3 linked regions of the Macaca fascicularis genome follow. The protein of the gene in region 3 purifies or fractionates together with the protein of the main gene of each other region. This does not show direct contact. Links are inferred from orthologs where the notes say so. Each region holds a gene or a part of one and is shown on either strand. Other genes may lie near its edges.

Region 1 (6,003 bases), on a different chromosome or scaffold from region 3:
CTCAGGAGTTCAAGATCAGCCTGGGCAATATAGTAAGACCCCATCTTAAAAAAAAAAATTGGGGCCTAGGCACTGTGGCTCACGCCTGTAATCTCGGCATTTTGGGGTGCAGAGGCAGGAGGAGCCCTCGAGGCAAGGAGTTCAAGACTAGCCTGAACAACAAAGGGAGACTATGTCGGCAAAAAAATAAAAAAAAAAAATTAGCCAGGCATGGTGATACACGTCTGTGGTCCCAGCTACTCAGGAGGCTGAGGTGGGGAGGAAAGCTCGAGTGCAGTGAGCTGTGATCACACCACTGCACTCCAGCCTTAGTGACAGTGAGAGATCCTGTCTCAGCACTTTATCCATTACGGGGCAGACGAGGAGAGTACAAATAAACATAGCATTTTTCTCCATATAGTACAATGATAAACCTCACAATGGCGACCTGCAAACACTGAAAATTCTGGAAGTGCTTTTCCAATTGTAAGAGATTTTTTTCTTTTTCTTTTTTTTTTTTTTTTTTTTGAGACGGAGTCTCGCTCTGTAGCCCGGGCTGGAGTGCAGTGGCCGGATCTCAGCTCACTGCAAGCTCCGCCTCCCGGGTTCACGCCATTCTCCTGCCTCAGCCTCCCGAGTAGCTGGGACTACAGGCGCCCACCACCTCGCCTGGCTAGTTTTTTGTATTTTTTAGTAGAGACGGGGTTTCACCGTGTTAGCCAGGATGGTCTCGATCTCCTGACCTCGTGATCCGCCCGTCTCGGCCTCCCAAAGTGCTGGGATTACAGGCTTGAGCCACCGCGCCCGGCCTCTTTTTTTCTTTTTTTGAGATGGACTCTCGCTCTGTCACCCAGGCTGGACTGCCATGGCACAATCTCAGCTCACCGCAACCTCTGCTTCCCAGGTTAAAACGACTCTCCTGTCTCAGTCTCCTGAGTAGCTGGGATTACAGGTATGCGCCACCACACCCGGCTAATTTTTGTATTTTTAGTAGAAACGGGGTTTCATCATGTTGTCCAGGCTTGTCTTGAACTCCTGACCTTGTGATCTGCCCATCTTGGCCTCCCAAAGTGCTGGGATTACAGGTGTGACCCACCATGCCCGGCTGAAAGATTACATTTTAACTGGGTTGAGTGAGAGGGTTTATATATGGCAAAAACTTTTGCCTGGACACAAGACTTGGTCCCATGAGAGCTGGGCAACAGTGAATGAGTCTCTTCTCTCTGCTTTTCAACTCATCTATAAAATAGGGACAGTCCTTCTTGTCTACTTTATAGAAGTGTTTGTGGGGTACGGGATTGTGAGAAGTTTTACGAAAAGGTGCACCCATGAAATGTTGCTTGAGGAACACTTATTTGTTTCCTGGTCTCCTCCCATTAGACTGTGAGCATCTCAGGGGCACCAAGTCTGATCCTGTGTCCAGGACCTGGCAGTCAACTGGCTCAGTGACTGGCTGTCGAACTAAACTATTGCTCTAATGTAATCACTTTGTATTACAAATCTTTGTAAATCAGCTATCTACGTCGGGGTTACCTAGAGAACTCTGACTAAAGGAAATCCATTGCATTTAGACACTATGACTCACAGTGTGTAGTGATATCTCCAAATTTCAACACATTTTCCCTTTCCCACGTACATTATGCATTTGTGGGAAGTTCTTTTTTTCTTTTTCTTTTTCTTTTTTTTTTTGCGTTCATTGATTTACAACATCTATATCTATCTACATGAATAGCGTGGCTTCTTCATTTTCCTTTGTGAGTGCCTGCAAATCATCTTAATCTGATTGGCTAAGGTATCTGCTTGTTCTTTCGTTAGACCGGGAAATGGAGAGGAAAAAGAAAAAAAGAGACCGGGCGCGGTGGCTCACGCCTGTAATCCCAGCACTTTGGGAGACCGAGGTGGGCGGATCTCGAGATCAAGAGATCGAGACCATCCTGGCCAATATAGTGAAACCCCATCTCTACTAAAAATAAAAAAATTAGCTAAGCGTGATGGCGCGCGCCTGTAGTCCCAGCTACTCGGGAGGCTGAGGCAGGAGAATCGCTTGAACCCAGGAGGCGGAGGTTGCAGTGAGCCAAGATCGCCAACCTGGCGACAGACTGAGACTCCAAAAAAAGAAAAAAAGTGTCTGAAATGCCATTTTATGGGCTCCGGTAGCGACGTAGCGCGAAAGCCAAAGTCACTTTAAGTTTATGATTGGTTATTATGTCTGTCAGTCACGTTGCCGGAAATCCTGTCCAATTATCCTGCTTATACTGTGCCCTCCCTTTCCGATTGGTTTTGGGAGGGGTTTAAGCTGGAAGGGTCGTCATTGGTTCGCCGCTACGGCTCGGCCTGAGCCCACCCCGGCTCGGTTGCCGTGGTTTCAGGCCCGGCCAGCCCGCCCGCTAGCTGACAGCGCGACTCAGATAGGAGGGAAGTAGGTCCGTTGGTCGATCGGGAACGAGGCTCCGGCGGCCAGGCCCGCGCGGAGCCGTTGCCATGGCAGCCGCCGCCGGGGACGCGGACGACGAGCGGCGCTCGGGCCACTCGAGCTCGGAGGGCGAGTGCGCGGTGGCGCCGGAGCCGCTGACGGGCGCTGAGGGCCTCTTCTCTTTCGCCGACTTCGGGTCTGCGCTGGGCGGCGGCGCGGGCCTCTCGAGCCGAGCGTCCGGCGGGGCCCAGTCGCCGCTGCGCTACCTGCATGTCCTGTGGCAGCAGGATGCGGAGCCGCGCGACGAGCTGCGCTGCAAGATCCCCGCCGGCCGACTGAGGCGCGCCGCCAGGCCCCACCGGCGGCTCGGGCCCACGGGCAAGGAGGTGCACGGTGAGCTGCGCGAGCGGCGCGGGGGCCCGGGGCGGAGCAACCCGGATGAGGGGCGGGGCTTTGGAGGACGGCTGGCGGCGCTTTGGTCGCCCCCGACCCTCAGTCGCGGTCCCCCGACGTCTGCGCTGAGGGCCACACTGACCCTTGAGTCTCCTTTCAGTAATGACGGTGATGATGGTTTTTAAAAAAGTCTTCCTGCTCTGAGACAGTCACCCCAGACTTCTCTCACTGGGGAATTTCTGAATGGAAACTTCCCATGACTCGGAACACTTATTGGTGGATAATAAAATGAGGCACTGGAGAACACTTTTATTATCAGGGAGAGGGGAGGCCAGAACCTGCAGCCAAGTCGTATCAGCTTGTTTAAATGCACGGACTTGGACTCCTTTACCACGTTAAGACCTTAGGGCAAATGATAGACCCTTTAAACTTTAGTTTACTTTTTAAATTTTTTTATTTTTTATTTTATTTATTATGATTATTATTATTATATTTTTTGAGACGGAGTCTCTCTCTGTTGCCCAGGCTGGAGTGCAGTGGCGTGATCTCGGTTCACTGCAACCTCCGCCCCCCGGGTTTAAGCGATTCTCCTGCCTCAGCCTCCCCAGTAGCTGGGGTTACAGGTGCCCGCTACCACCCCTGGTTAATTTTTGTAATTTTAGTAGAGATGGGGTTTCGCCATGTTGGCCAGGCTAGTCTCGAACTCCTGACCTCAGGTGATCCACCTGCCTCGGCCTCCCAAAGTACTGGCATAACAGGCATGAGCCATTGGCCTGGCCTCAGCCTTAGTTTTCTCATTTGTAAAATGGGTTGAGTTAAGTAAGGTAATGGACGTTTAGTTGTTATGCTGCTTTTGTTGTGCCCCAAACATGCTGATACATGATCATTTGTCCTCACAAGAACTCTTTGAGATATAGGAATTCTTCCCATTTTACTGAAGAGGAAACTGAGGCTCAGAGAAATTGTCTTATTCCAGGTCACATAACAAGTGGCTGTTGCTGATATTAGAATCTGGGTCAGCCCGACTCAAACTCCTGCTCTGGTATATCTACCATATTGTCTTCTATATTACATGGGTGACACCGAAACCCAGGCACTGAGAGATTAAGAATGGGGACTTTCGGGATTTCTTCCAGGACTGGCTATGACTAGCCATATTTTCGTCATGTTGCAAAGATTAAGAATTTGGAAGTGTTGTATAGACTGTACAGTGCTGTATGAAAGCAAGGAATTGTTATGTATCTGAATTGCAATTTTTGACCATATCTCCAATGACAAAAACATTGCTTTCCATTAGCCATTGGAGGGGGAAAAACTTTCTGCTTAGGAAATACCAAATTTAGGCAAATCATTTGGGAACGACCTGCTTTGAAGGAGAATATAAGATGATCTGTGTGACCAGCTCACAAAGAGCTTCCATGTAAATCATTTACAATAACTCAGGGCTGGCAGAACAACTCAGCCTTGTTGTGCAGATGATAGACCTGAGGCCCAGCGGGGTTAACTAGCTTGCTCAAGGTCACCCTGCGACTACAAGTGATAGAGAGGAAATCTGGTTCCAAAAAAAGTCTTGGAGGATTTGCAGGAGCATGTGGCCTTTGTACTAGCTCCGCCTCATTTCAAGTTCCTCCTTGTTCCCAGGGCACTGTCTTTCTTTTCTTGTTTGAAGACAGAGTGTCACTTTACCACCCAGGCTGCTGTGCAAGTGGTGCAATCTTGGCTTACTGCCTCAGCCTCCCAAGTAGCTGGGACTACAGGCCCACGCCACCACACCCAGCTAGTTTTTGTATTTTTAGTAGAGAGAGGGTTTTACCATGTTAGATAGATTTAAGTTAGAACTTAACCTAAGATTTAGAAATATGTTTTCTTTCTTTTTTTTTTTTTTGAGATCGAGCGTTGCTCTGCCACCCAGGCTGGAGTGCCGTGGGGTGATTTTGGGCTCAAGTGATTCTTGTGTCTCAGCCTCCTAAGTAGCTGGGATTACAGGCATGCACCACCACACCTGCCTACTCTTTGTATTTTTATTTTATTTATTTATTTATTTTTATTTTATTTTACTTATTTATGTATTTATTTATTTATTTTGAGACGGAGTCTCATCTGTCGCCCAGGCTGGAGTGCAGTGGCGCAATCTTGGCTCACTGCAACCTCTGGCTCTCAGGTTCAAGCGATTCTCCTGCCTTAGCCTCCCGAGTAGTTGGGATAACAGGCATGCACCACCATGCCTGGCTAATTTTTGTATTTTTAGTAGAGACAGGATTTCACCTTACTGGCCAGGCTGGTCTCAAACTCCTGACCTCGTGATCCACCCACCTTGGCCTCTCAAACTGTTGGGATTACAAGCGTGAGCCACTGCACTCGGCCTTTTTTTTTTTTCCCTTTTTTTTTTTTTTTTTTTTTTTTTTTTTGGTGACAGTCTCACTCTGTTGCCCAAGCTGGAGTACAGTGGCACAATCTTGGCTCACTGCAACCTCTGCCTCCTGGGCTTAAGCGATTCTCCTGCCTGAGCCTCCCAAGTAGCTGGGATTATAGGTGTGCACCCCCATGCCCAACTAATTTTTTGTATTTTGCTATAGACAAGGTTTCACCATGTTGCCTAGGGTGGTTTCAAACTCTAGAGCACGGGCAATCTGCCCGCCTCAGCTTTCCAACGTTCTGGGATTACAGGCATGAGTCACCACGTCTGGCTATTTTTGTATTTTTAGTAGAGATGGGGTTTCACCTATTGGCTGGGCTGGTCTTGAACTCCTAGCCTCAAGTGATCTACCTGCCTTGGCCTCCCAAAGTACTGGGATTATAGGCATGAACCACTGTGCCCGGCCATCATAGCTTTTTTTTTTTTTTTTTTTTTCTCCCTGAGACAGAGTCTCGCTTTGTCTCGCAGTGACGTAATCTCAGCTCACTGTGGCCTCCACCTTCTGGCTTCAACCCATTCTCCTACCTCAGCCTCCTAAGTAGCTGGTATTACAGGCGCACACCACCACACCTGGCTAGATGGCTATTTTTTTGTTTTTGTTTTTGTTTTCTAAGACAGAGTATCACTCTGTCACCCAGGCTGGAGTGCAGTGGCACGATTTTGGCTTACTGCAACCTCCACATTCTGGGTTCAAGCGATTCTCCTGCCTCAGCCTCCAGAGTAGCTGGGATTACAGGCATGCGCCACCACACTCAGCTAATTTTCTTGTAGTTTTAGTAGAGACGGGCTTTCACCATGTTGT
Region 2 (5,780 bases), on a different chromosome or scaffold from region 3:
GATTGGTCAGTAATCTCCAAATCTCAGTGTCTTAAGAAAAGTTTATTTGCTTATACTACTTGGTGGAGAATTCTGCTCCATTCAAGACTCAGGCTGTTGGAGGTTTCACATTTGTGTACCTGTACCACCTAAGCTATGAGCCCATCTCAGTCACCATGGCAGTGGGGAGAGCACTGAGATGAGGATGTCTTGCATCAGTAATTAAAAGCTTTGTCTCAGAAATGATAGACATTCTTGCTGGTCATAGCCCATAGGCCAGAACTAGTCACGCAGTCCCACCTAACTGCAGCAGGGCTTGGAAATGCAAGGGAGCACATGGGATCTTGCCACACCCAGGATTACATGATGTGCTGGTTGATGGTTGTGGAGACTCCCAGTTAAAAGGGTTGTTACTACATCTGCACTAAGCCTGGGGCAGAGAGCAGGGAGGCCCCAGAGCCCTGCACTTCCTGGAGAAGAACCTTTAAAAGGAGGACCACAGTGTGCAGTGTTCAGGCCACTCTGGGGCCTTTCTACAATTCCAAGCTGTTAGTGTGGATCTGTGGACAAGAAGGTGTGGTCCTTCTGAAACATCTCCATACCATCCATTCCTCCTTTTGAGCAGCATCTAGAGTGAAAAATCCTTAATACAGCATCAAAGGGCTAACCTAAGTGTGAGTCAGGTGCCTTTCCTGATTCCACAGTCTTCTGTGCCTCTCTGCCCATGAAAGCATGTGCCATCCTGTGTTGTAATGATTTAATCCCTTGTGTATACTCCACGCTGGACTATAAGTCTTGCTGTATTTACAGCTGAATCCCCAGCATCATAGTACAGTACCTGGTAAAGTAGGCTGACTAGTAAGTGTTTGAAGAACAAATTCAAATTCAAATGTAGTTGACTTTATTTATTTATTTATTTATTTATTTATTTTTGAGGTGGAGTCTCACTCTTTCATCCAGGCTGAAGTGGCATGATCTTTGCTCACTGCAACCTCCACCCCCCAGGTTCAAGTGATTCTCCTGCCTCAGCCTCCTGAGTAGCTGGGATTACAGGTCCGTGCCACCACACCCAACTAATTTTTGTATTTTTAGTAGAGACGGTTACTCCATGTTGGCCAGGCCGGTCTCGAACTCTCGACCTCAGGTGATCCACCTGCCTTGGCCTCCCAAAGTGCTAGGATTACAGACATGAGCCACTGCACCTGGCCGTTGATATTGTTATTAAGCTTTTACACTGTTTGGGCAACTGTGATATAAATCTTCTGCCATGACCACCTTTCTCCATCTTAAACATTCCCAATTAAATGTCCCTTCAATATGAGCAAGTAGAATACAGGTGTTAAGGAACCAGACGACCTGAAATCAAAACTCAGACATTTATGAGCTGTGTGACCTTGGGCAAGTTACCAAACCTTTCTGTGTTTCATTTCCCTTATCTCTGCAATGGAGATTAGAATGATTTCTATCTTACAGGTGCCTATGAGGACTAAAGCACTTCAAAGAGCACTGGCATGCAAGTTGCCACAACTGTCCATTGCTATTGTAATAGCCCAGGTTTCTCCTTGTTCCCCCTCCACTTCCCTGTGTTCCCATATACTTTGTAGGTAACCCTGTCACAGTCCTTCCCAATGGCCTTTTGCTTTCCCTAGACTTTTCCAAAAGTGGTGCCAGGCCCGCTTAGGAATAGCTGACACAGGAGGATCACTTGAGCCCAGTAGGTCGAGGCTGCAGAGAGCCCTGTTCATGCCACTGAACTCCAGCGTGGGTAACAGAGTTAGACTCTGTCTCAAAAAAGAAAATAAAACAAGACAAAAAAATAAAACAGACCTAGGACTCTAATGAGACCAGAGGGGTGTCCTGCAATGATTCATGGGAACACTGGTCCCATGAAGTGTTCCAGGCAAAACAAAAATTCTGTAGTGAATTAAGTGTAGAGAAACCAGAGAAACTCTATACAATGTGTGTTAGAACATTAAAGGTTTGTAATAAACTGTATTCACCCATTGTATTCTCAACGTGCTTACCTTTTGTTTGTTTGTTTTGTAGAACACCTATAGCACCCTTCTGAATGCAACTGGAAGTATTGGTGCCTAAGGAGCTACACAAGCCTGAACCTCCTGCTACTTGCCAGATGTATGAGCTTGAGCCATTCCCTTACCCCATGGGGGGATCACAGCTTCCAACATGTAAAATAGCAGTCATAGTGCCAACTTCTTCACATTATAAGTGATGAATAAGATAGCATGACAACTGCCTGCCTGGTCCACATGGGAGCTGGGCCACTGTTCTGTCCTCCCCTCCACGCTGCCAACACCATGATGCTGGCAGATGTGACCAATGCTCCTGCCTGTTCGGGTGATGATGGCTCTGAGGAAACAAAGAACACAGCAGCTCACTGGTCTCCGTGCTGATGCTCCCAGGTAGCCACTGCTCCTCTTAGTTTGGGATTGTTTTTAAATTTTTTCCATTTTGGGTAATATTTAGTCTCCACATGATCATTCTTACAGATCTTTATTGAGTACAAGTGTATGGGGCAAGAAGCAATGGGGAGAATTTTAGGTTTTCTATGGTTCAGTGGAGAAGCAGTCCTCTCCCCATCAGCAAACATTATTTTTATCCTTAGGAGTCCTGTTGTTATTCTCTGTGCACAGTGGAGGAAGTCAGTTTGAGAGAGAAAACTTCTGTTTCCGGTACTTTGATTTTCTTTTATATCAAATATCTTGTATCATCTATTCATTTCAAGGTGTAGATCTGGGACCTGTGCCATCCTCAAATGTGCGGGCAGGGTTTTGTTTTGGTTTGGTTTTTCACCGAGCACCAGCTTCCTCTGTTGCCTGAACAGCTGTGTTTGGTTCTTGGCAGCAAGTGTCTTCTGGAGCTTAGAACTGCCTTGCCAGGAACATGTGTAGAGTGTCTTGAATGAAAAATAAACCTTGGAAAATTTGTTTCTTGCCGTTAAGAAGCATTTGGTAGCTATACATGTTGGGTGCCTAACAAGAACAAGAAATTTTAGTTATAACAGGGGTTCACTTTCATCTACAAGGTAAGAAGTGATAGTTAGAACAATGGAATTGATGTACAACAGCAGCTTATTTGTGACTTCTAGTCTTTATTCCAAAATGTTTATTAAACTTAGCTGTATACAAAATTATGGGTGACAGCATGAATATCAGGCATGGAGGGGAGAAAATACAGGGATTTGCTTCAAGGACAAATTTGAATAGGAGAGTTGGGATTTTATTTGCAAAGAGTTAGGAGCTGTCGAAGGTGTTTAAGCAAACACTGAAGGTGATCAAAATGGTGCCCTAGGGAAATTAATCAGGCAATGATGAATGGGGTGAATTGGTGAGGCAGAAAGAAGGGAAGCAATCAGGAGACAATTATAATAAGATGTGACTTGGGGCCACTGGAGAGAATGAGAACAGAGCCTGGGCGAGATGATAGACCTTGTGCTGTGGATCAGTGGTTGGGGCCATGGCTCCTGGGTATCTGGGGGTAAAATCCTCTAGTCCTGCCAATATCCCATAACTTCCAAATCTTTATCTCTAGCCCATTTCTCTCTCTTGAGCACCAGACCCATTTACATTCCACTGAAAAATACTATTCAAAATTCCTAAAACAGAACTACTCATCATCACTCCCCAAACTGCTCCTTCACTTCTCTCACCACATCCTTTTAATTCTTGTTCTTGACTGATAATGTCTCTAAGGTAAGCAGTTAAACACATCTTTCTCTCCTGGGGCTTATGAACTGAGTGCGAAACAAGCATGGGTCTGTTGGCAGTGGGGTGCATGTGAATGTTTAGCAGCCAGCTTGCAAAGTTCCAGAACATTTGACCATGAGTTCTTGTGAGCTGGCATCAGCTGACTCCAGCACACCACTGTGACCAGAGTCACAAGATCAGCTTTATTACTGGTAAACTGGAGAATCTGACTTGATGCTTTAGCTCCAACCTTCCAGACATATATAACTGAATTGAGAAGTTTATGATACAATAATATTATCATATATACTGGTAATAACAGTCATCTCTAAAGATGTTAGGCTTTGTGAAGTGCTTTACCATTTATCCTCACATTCCTCAGAAGGCCCTGGAAGATGTTTAGCTTGCCCCCTTACACTCATCTGCTGGAGGAATTCAGAGGAGGGCGGGAAAAGGTGGCAGGAAGGGCACTCACAGGGGAGGGAGCCTGTCACGGGCCAGGAGGGCTGGAAGGATTTGAGCAGATGGGGGAAACGGAGAGAAGCCAGGTTTGGAGCAGACCTCACAGACCGCCTAGAGCCTGAGTTGGCACTGAGAAGTCATGGGAGCTTCTGAGCAGGACAGTGGCAGGCCTGAGGCAGGGTCACAGAGGGGCAGCCCTGCAGTGAATGTACCATGGTCCAGAACGGGACTCCTTGAAGGTGCAGAGAGCTGAAGCTGCTACTTCAGCTGGGTCACTATTGCAAATGGCCCGAAGAGAACCATGGAAGCCTCAACGGGTACCATTCATTCATTCAATGCATATTGACTACGTGCCTATTATGTGCCAGGCACTTCTAGGCATTAGTAATACAGAGTGAATAAAACAACCCCTGCTTCATGAGATTTACATACTTGTCTGTTACTGGAAGGAAACAGACAATAAATAAAATTATTCAAGAATCTCAAGCAGGCCAGATGGTGATAAATGCTGTAGAGAGAAATAAAGGGGACAGGGCATGCCAGGATCGGGTTGGGGTGGCAGTCTAAGATTATCCAATTAGGCTTCATTGAGGAGATGACATTTTAGCAAAGATCTGAAAGAAACCAATGATGGTAGTGATGGAAACAGGCATAAATGTGCCAGACCAAGGAGGCAGATCATAAAGAAATCATTTTAAAAGGAGAGAGGATGGGCACATCAAAATCTCAGAAATCACACTTAAAGAACTTATCCACCTAACCAAACACCACTTGTTCCCCAAAAACTACTGGAAAAAAAAAAGTCTACCTTAAAAAAAAAATTGAGGCCAGGCTCATGCCTGTAATCCTAGCATTTTGGGAGGTTGAGGTAGGAGAATCATTTGAGACCAGGAGTTCAAGACCAACCTGGGCAACAAAGCAGGACCCTGTCTCTACAAAAATAAAAGTAAAAAATTAGTTGAGTGTGGTGGTGCAGGAGGATTTCTTGAACCCAGAAGGTTGAGGCTATAGTGAGCCATGACTGTGCCACTGCACTCCAGCCTGGGCAACAGAGCCAGATCTTATTTCATAAATAAATAAATAAAGAGAGAGACAGAGAGAATCTCACAATTATTTAGGCAGTGAATTGGAAAACAATAGTTTTGGGTTATAAAACCAAAATTGTAAAATACAATTAAACCAAACTTGAAATGTGTTTGACCTTTATGGTTTGAAAAGAGTCAGTTAAATATTTCAGTTATTGTTTACTGGATCTTACGGAGGGCATTTTATGCTATAGTAGTATTTGTAGTGTTTATAACACTAGGGGATTGAGACAGTCTTATCAGAGTGAAATGAATAGCAAATAGAGACTCATCATAACAATATGCTTCAGATTCCCCAGTTACTCCCAGTGCCTTAGTAATGTACCTTTTTTACCTCGTGCTATAAACATTTATCCTTGGCCCAGGCACGGTGGCTCATGCCTGCAATCCCAGCACTTTGGGAGGCCGAGGAAGGAGGATCAGTTGAGGTCAGGAGTTTGAGACCAGCCTAGGTCGAGATGATGAAACCCTGTCTCTACTAAAAATACAAAAATTAGCTGAGCATGGTGGCACACAACTGTAATCCCAGCTACTCACGAGGCTGAGGCAG
Region 3 (5,308 bases):
TTTTCTTTCTTTTTCTTTTTTTAGACAGAATCTCGCTCTGTTACCCAGGCTGGAGTGCATTGGTGCCATCTTGGCTCACTGCAACCTTCATCTCTTGAGTTCAAGCAATTCTCATGCCTCAGCCTCCCAAGTAGCTGGGAGTACAGGTGTGCAACACCATGCCTGGCTAACTTTTCATATTTTTTTAGTAGAGACGGGGTTTCACTATGTTGGCCAGACTGGTCTCAAACTCCTGGTTTCAAGTGATCCGCCTGCCTCAGCCTCCCAAAGTGCGGAGATTACAGGAGTGAGCCACCCACTGTATCTGACCATTTTTGGTATTTTCTTGATCGCAAGAGAATTGCATATTTATTATAGAAACTCTGGAATATATAAAAAACACAAAAAGATTAAAATGATGCATAATCCTGTTACCCAGTTAAAACAACTATTAACATATTGGTGTACCTAGACTTACTAAACCTGGAAAACAGATGTTTTTCTTCACTAAGAACACATACAGATACACTTATATATGTTATACATTTAAAACATAGACTCATAGTACACATCTTGCTTTGTAACCTACTTTTTCAATGTAACGATACGTGGGAAACTGTTCCTCATGACAATAGATACTCTCTAATAACATGATTTTAATGACTGCATGGTATTCCCTATTATGGATGTATTGTAATTTGTTTAACTAATCTCCCATTATTACACATTCAGTTTGTCTACAAGTGCTTGATAGTATAAACCATGTTGAGAAGAACAATCTTGCATACATCTTTCTGTACTTTTTTTATTCTTTTCCTTATGATAATTTCCTAGAAGTAAAATTTTGTTCTTCTCTTTAAGAAAATCTGTGCACTTTGGTTATTTTTATCTTTTTATTTCATTTTCTAGAAGTGGAATTGAATTTCATACACTACAAGCTATGTATGAGAGTGCCTGTTTCTGTACATTTTTTCCAACACTTGATATTTTATGTTGTTGTTGTTGTTATTATTATTATTATTATTTGAGACGGATTCTCGCCTGTCGCCCAGCCTGGAGGGCAGTGGTGCGATCTCCGCTCACTGCAACCTCCACCTCCAGTTCAATTGATTCTCTTGTCCCAGCCTCCTGAGTAGCTGGGACTACAGGTACCCACCACCACACCCGGCTAATTTTTGCATTTTTAGTAGAGATGGGGTTTCACCAGGTTGGCCAGGCTGATCTCTAACTCCTGACCTCAAGGGATCCTCCCACCTCGGGCTTCCCAAAGTGCTGGGATTACAAGCGTGAGCCACTGTGCCCGGCCCAACACTAGATATTTTAAATATTAGTTAATTTGACAGCCAAGAAAAATAGCATTTCAGGCAGGGCGCGGTGGTTTACGCCTGTAATCCCAGCACTTTGGGAGGCCAAGGCAAGCGGATCATGAGCAGGAGTTTGAGACCAGCCTGACCAACATGGTGAAACTCCGTCTCTACTAAAAATACAAAAATTAGCTGGGCATGGTGGTGCGAGCCTGTAATCCCAGTTACTCGGGAGGCTGAGGCAGGAGAATTCCTTGAACCCGGGAGATGAAGGTTGCAGTGAGCTGAGATCGCACCACTGCACTCCAGGCTGGGCGACAGAGCAAGACTCCATCTCAAAAAAAAAAATATATATATATATATAGAGAGAGAGAGAGAGAGAGAGAGAGAGCATTTTGTTGCTTATTTTGCAATTTCTTTTATTCATAAAGTTGGTCTACTGCTCATTTATATTTTATTTGTGAATTGCCCATTAATTTTTGGTCCTTTTTTTTTTTTTTTGAGACGGAGTCTCGCTTTGTCGCCCTGGCCGGATCTCTGCTCACTGCAAGCTCCGCCTCCCGGGTTTACGCCATTCTCCTACCTCAGCCTCCCGAGTAGCTGGGACTACAGGCGCCTGCCACCTCGCCCGGCTAGTTTTTTGTATTTTTTAGTAGAGACGGGGTTTCACCGTGTTAGCCAGGATGGTCTCGATCTCCTGACCTCGTGATTCGCCCGTCTCGGCCTCCCAAAGTGCTGGGATTACAGGCTTGAGCCACTGCGCCAGGCCCTTTTGGTCCATTTTTACATTGCGATGTTTACCTCATTTCTAATACTTTTAAAGAGATCTTGATATAAGAATATTAATCCTTTAACTGTAATGTATGCTGAAAATGTTTTTCAGTTTATCCTTTATCTTTCAATTTTGTTTATGATGCTTTTTGCCATATAGGGATTTAAAGTCTATGTCATCAAATTAGTTCAGTTTTTTCTCAATAGTTCTAAGTTTTATAATTATATTAGAAAAAGCTTGCCTCCCACAAAGTTATATAAATAATCGCTTATATTTACTCTCAGTCATTCATGGTTTTATTTTTTATATTAAGCTCTTGAATTCATCTGGAATTTTCTTTGGTGTATGGTGTAACATAGCTACCTAACTCCTCTCCTCCCCACAACATTAGTGGTTAAATATTTGTCCCAACAACAATTTTTTAGAAACCTTCATTTTCCCAATGATTTGAAATACCTGAGTCTCTCTTGACTGGGTATGCGCTGGGTCCTATTGTATATGTGTCCCTATTGACCTATAGAAAGTAATCACTAAGCATCAGCCTTGTCTGTGCAGGAGAAACTTCTGAAGCCACAGCAAAAGGCTTCCAGTACCTAAGGAAATTCAGAAAAGAGTAATGCATCAACCAATAACCATTTTTTCTTATTTCATTACAGAGAAGAGGTGAAGAGTCCAGTGAAATGGAGCAAATTTCAATCATTGAAAGATTCCCTTATCCCTTCCAGGTGAGTTACTTTCTCTCACCAAGTCTTGAAAGGCCCCTGTAACACAATTAGAAGGGGTGGTGGGGTGCAGGGCAGAGGGAAGGCTACGAGGACCCAGTAAATAGAAGTTGAGGTGGACAAAGATGCTGAACCAAGAAATGAGACCGGCATGGGTTGAGAATGTTTGCTTTTCTATTTACCTAATCTAATATAGTTTCTTTTAGTCTCTATACCTCAAAAAGAATACATAGCAGGACCAATTCTATCATAGTCTGTCTTGTCTATGATAACTGCATTGAGAAAGATGCTCTGCTTGTTGAGTGAGCATTTCACTTCCTTCTGGTTCTGATAATCTGTCTAATGGTGGTCATGTGGGTTGAAGACAGAAAAGGGGAGTAGTATTAGGAAGTTCAGTATGAGGAAGACTTATTAGACTTAGCATAAACCTAAATTCTGTTGTAATCTGGAAGAGCTGAAGTGCCACATATGCATCTGTTTAGGAGAGCAAGAACTACAAATTTGGTCTTCAGTTTGGCTTGCTTACATCCTGAGAACTCTGTAGGCCACATGTCGTGAATATAGCAGCCTCTGCAACAGTGAAAGCCAGAAAAGGAAGTGGAAAGTCTCAGGGGAGGGGGCTTTCTGTCATGGATTTATGAGCACAGCAAGACTAACAAGCAAAAAGAAAAATGTAAAAGGATCTTGTTCATGTCCCTGACTATATCAAAGTTACAAAACCTTTGAAAGAGGGGTATTTCAGATACAGTTTTTACTACCAATGCCTTTCAACAAAATGACATTGTTTGGCTGCACTAGTGAATAATGCTGAATAGCAGATAATTTTAAATTAATTTATATTTGACTTTATAATTTATTATGTGATGTCTATAAACTCTGTGAGGGTTGGAACCACATCTTATATATTTCGTGCATCTTCATAACACCTAGCATGATGCCTGTACATGGTTAAAAAAATACTATTTGACTTGATGATATTGCTTATTATATAACTTGCCCTTTTTGAAGTAGGTTTGTAGTTCCAAATTTGATTTATTTTGGCTAATATTGGTGAGGGGAAGCCACTAGGTAGTGGAGGTGGAGGTAATTAGCCATGAATTAAAATTTTACTCCATATTATCCAAGTGAATAACCTATATGTACTAATCAAGACAATTTATATAGATTATCACTTCAATTCTCTTCTATACAAAGTCAGAATTTAATAATAAGATAAAATACCCTTTGTTGGATAAACAAAAATGTTATCTCCAGCAAGGGCAGACTGAGACATTATAAAATAAGTTTATGCATGAATTGAAACACAAGTCAGGAGGGACCTAAGAGGATGAAAAATTCTAAGAGCTTTCAAATGCTACATCCTTAGATATGAAGAGTTCAGGAATCCTTCAGATAGTTCACATAACCTGAACACCACTGCTGACTGAAGATTCTGCCTTTCTTTGTTTTCTACAATGAATATACAAATTGTCCCCTAAGATTAGTACCTTGAAGGTCGTTCTCCTTTTTTTCTGAATCCTAACCGCGGAAGTCTGTGTTTTCATTGATCCAGGTTGTATATGATGAAGGGCCTCTCTACGTCTTCTCCCCAACTGAAGAACTAAGGAAGCGGTGGATTCACCAGCTCAAAAACGGTGAGAATTATTTGGAAAATAAATGTTTCCAAAGAAAGAAGGAAAGGAAGGAAGAGGAGATAGGTGGGAGGAAAAGGAAAGAAGGAAGAGCGAAACGAGAAAGAAAGAGAAAGGAGAAACGTAGAGAGAAAAGAAGAAAAAATGGATAGAAGGGGAGAAAAGAAAGAGAGAGGGAGGGGAGGAGGGAGACAGGAAGGAAGGAAGCAAGGAAAGAAGGAAGGGGGCCAGGCGCGGTGGCTCAAGCCTGTAATCCCAGCACTTTGGGAGGCCGAGACGGGCGAATCACGAGGTCAGGAGATCGAGACCATCCTGGCTAACACGGTGAAACCCCGTCTCTACTAAAAAATACAAAAAACTAGCCGGGCGAGGTGGCGGGCGCCTGTAGTCCCAGCTACTCGGGAGGCTGAGGCAGGAGAATGGCGTGAACCCGGGAGGCGGAGCTTGCAGTGAGCCGAGATCCGGCCACTGCGCTCCAGCCTGGGCTGCAGAGCGAGACTCCGTCTCAAAAAAAAAAAAAAAAAAAAAAAGAAGGAAGGGGATGAGGGAGGAAAGAAAGACAAATAGAAAAGAGAGAAACAAAGGAAAGTTTGTATTTTGCTTCAGTATTAGTAATACAACTGAGCTTAGTATTCTATCATATGAATAAAAGATAAAATATTAGACTAAGAGTTTCCCAGTTCTACCACTATCTCTCTAGTGCAATTTTGTAATTGTAGGCACCTCCATTTCTCTATTTATTAAAAAAAGTCCCATTTTTCACACTGAATACAAGGGTGATGTGGCATCCAATGGTTATGCAATATTTAGAATCCTAAGCATAAAATACCTAGCTCCAAAAAATTAAATAGATGATGTATGAGAGTGCTTGAAGTCAGAGTCAGAGAACCTGGTTTCAAG

The links.
Region 1: the proteins of BTK (region 3) and ANKRD54 purify together in Homo sapiens (affinity purification with mass spectrometry; 4 studies listed by BioGRID and IntAct, counting the BioPlex papers as one, with this or other methods). This does not show direct contact. The link is inferred for Macaca fascicularis from reciprocal best matches to the Homo sapiens genes BTK and ANKRD54.
Region 2: the proteins of BTK (region 3) and BLNK purify together in Homo sapiens (affinity purification with western blotting; 5 studies listed by BioGRID and IntAct, with this or other methods). This does not show direct contact. The link is inferred for Macaca fascicularis from reciprocal best matches to the Homo sapiens genes BTK and BLNK.

Annotation. Positions count from the first base shown.
Region 1 is NC_088384.1:13,777,013-13,783,015, forward strand, and holds the start of ANKRD54 (ankyrin repeat domain-containing protein 54), read left to right. Parts: upstream 1-2,368; 5' UTR 2,369-2,460; coding exon 2,461-2,785; intron 2,786-6,003. UniProt on the Homo sapiens protein: Plays an important role in regulating intracellular signaling events associated with erythroid terminal differentiation.
Region 2 is NC_088383.1:105,211,887-105,217,666, reverse strand, and holds the start of BLNK (B-cell linker protein), read left to right. Parts: upstream 1-2,145; 5' UTR 2,146-2,316; coding exon 2,317-2,399; intron 2,400-5,780. UniProt on the Homo sapiens protein: Functions as a central linker protein, downstream of the B-cell receptor (BCR), bridging the SYK kinase to a multitude of signaling pathways and regulating biological outcomes of B-cell function and development.
Region 3 is NC_088395.1:108,039,321-108,044,628, reverse strand, and holds part of BTK (tyrosine-protein kinase BTK), read left to right. Parts: intron 1-2,711; coding exon 2,712-2,780; intron 2,781-4,329; coding exon 4,330-4,411; intron 4,412-5,308. UniProt on the Homo sapiens protein: Non-receptor tyrosine kinase indispensable for B lymphocyte development, differentiation and signaling. Binding of antigen to the B-cell antigen receptor (BCR) triggers signaling that ultimately leads to B-cell activation.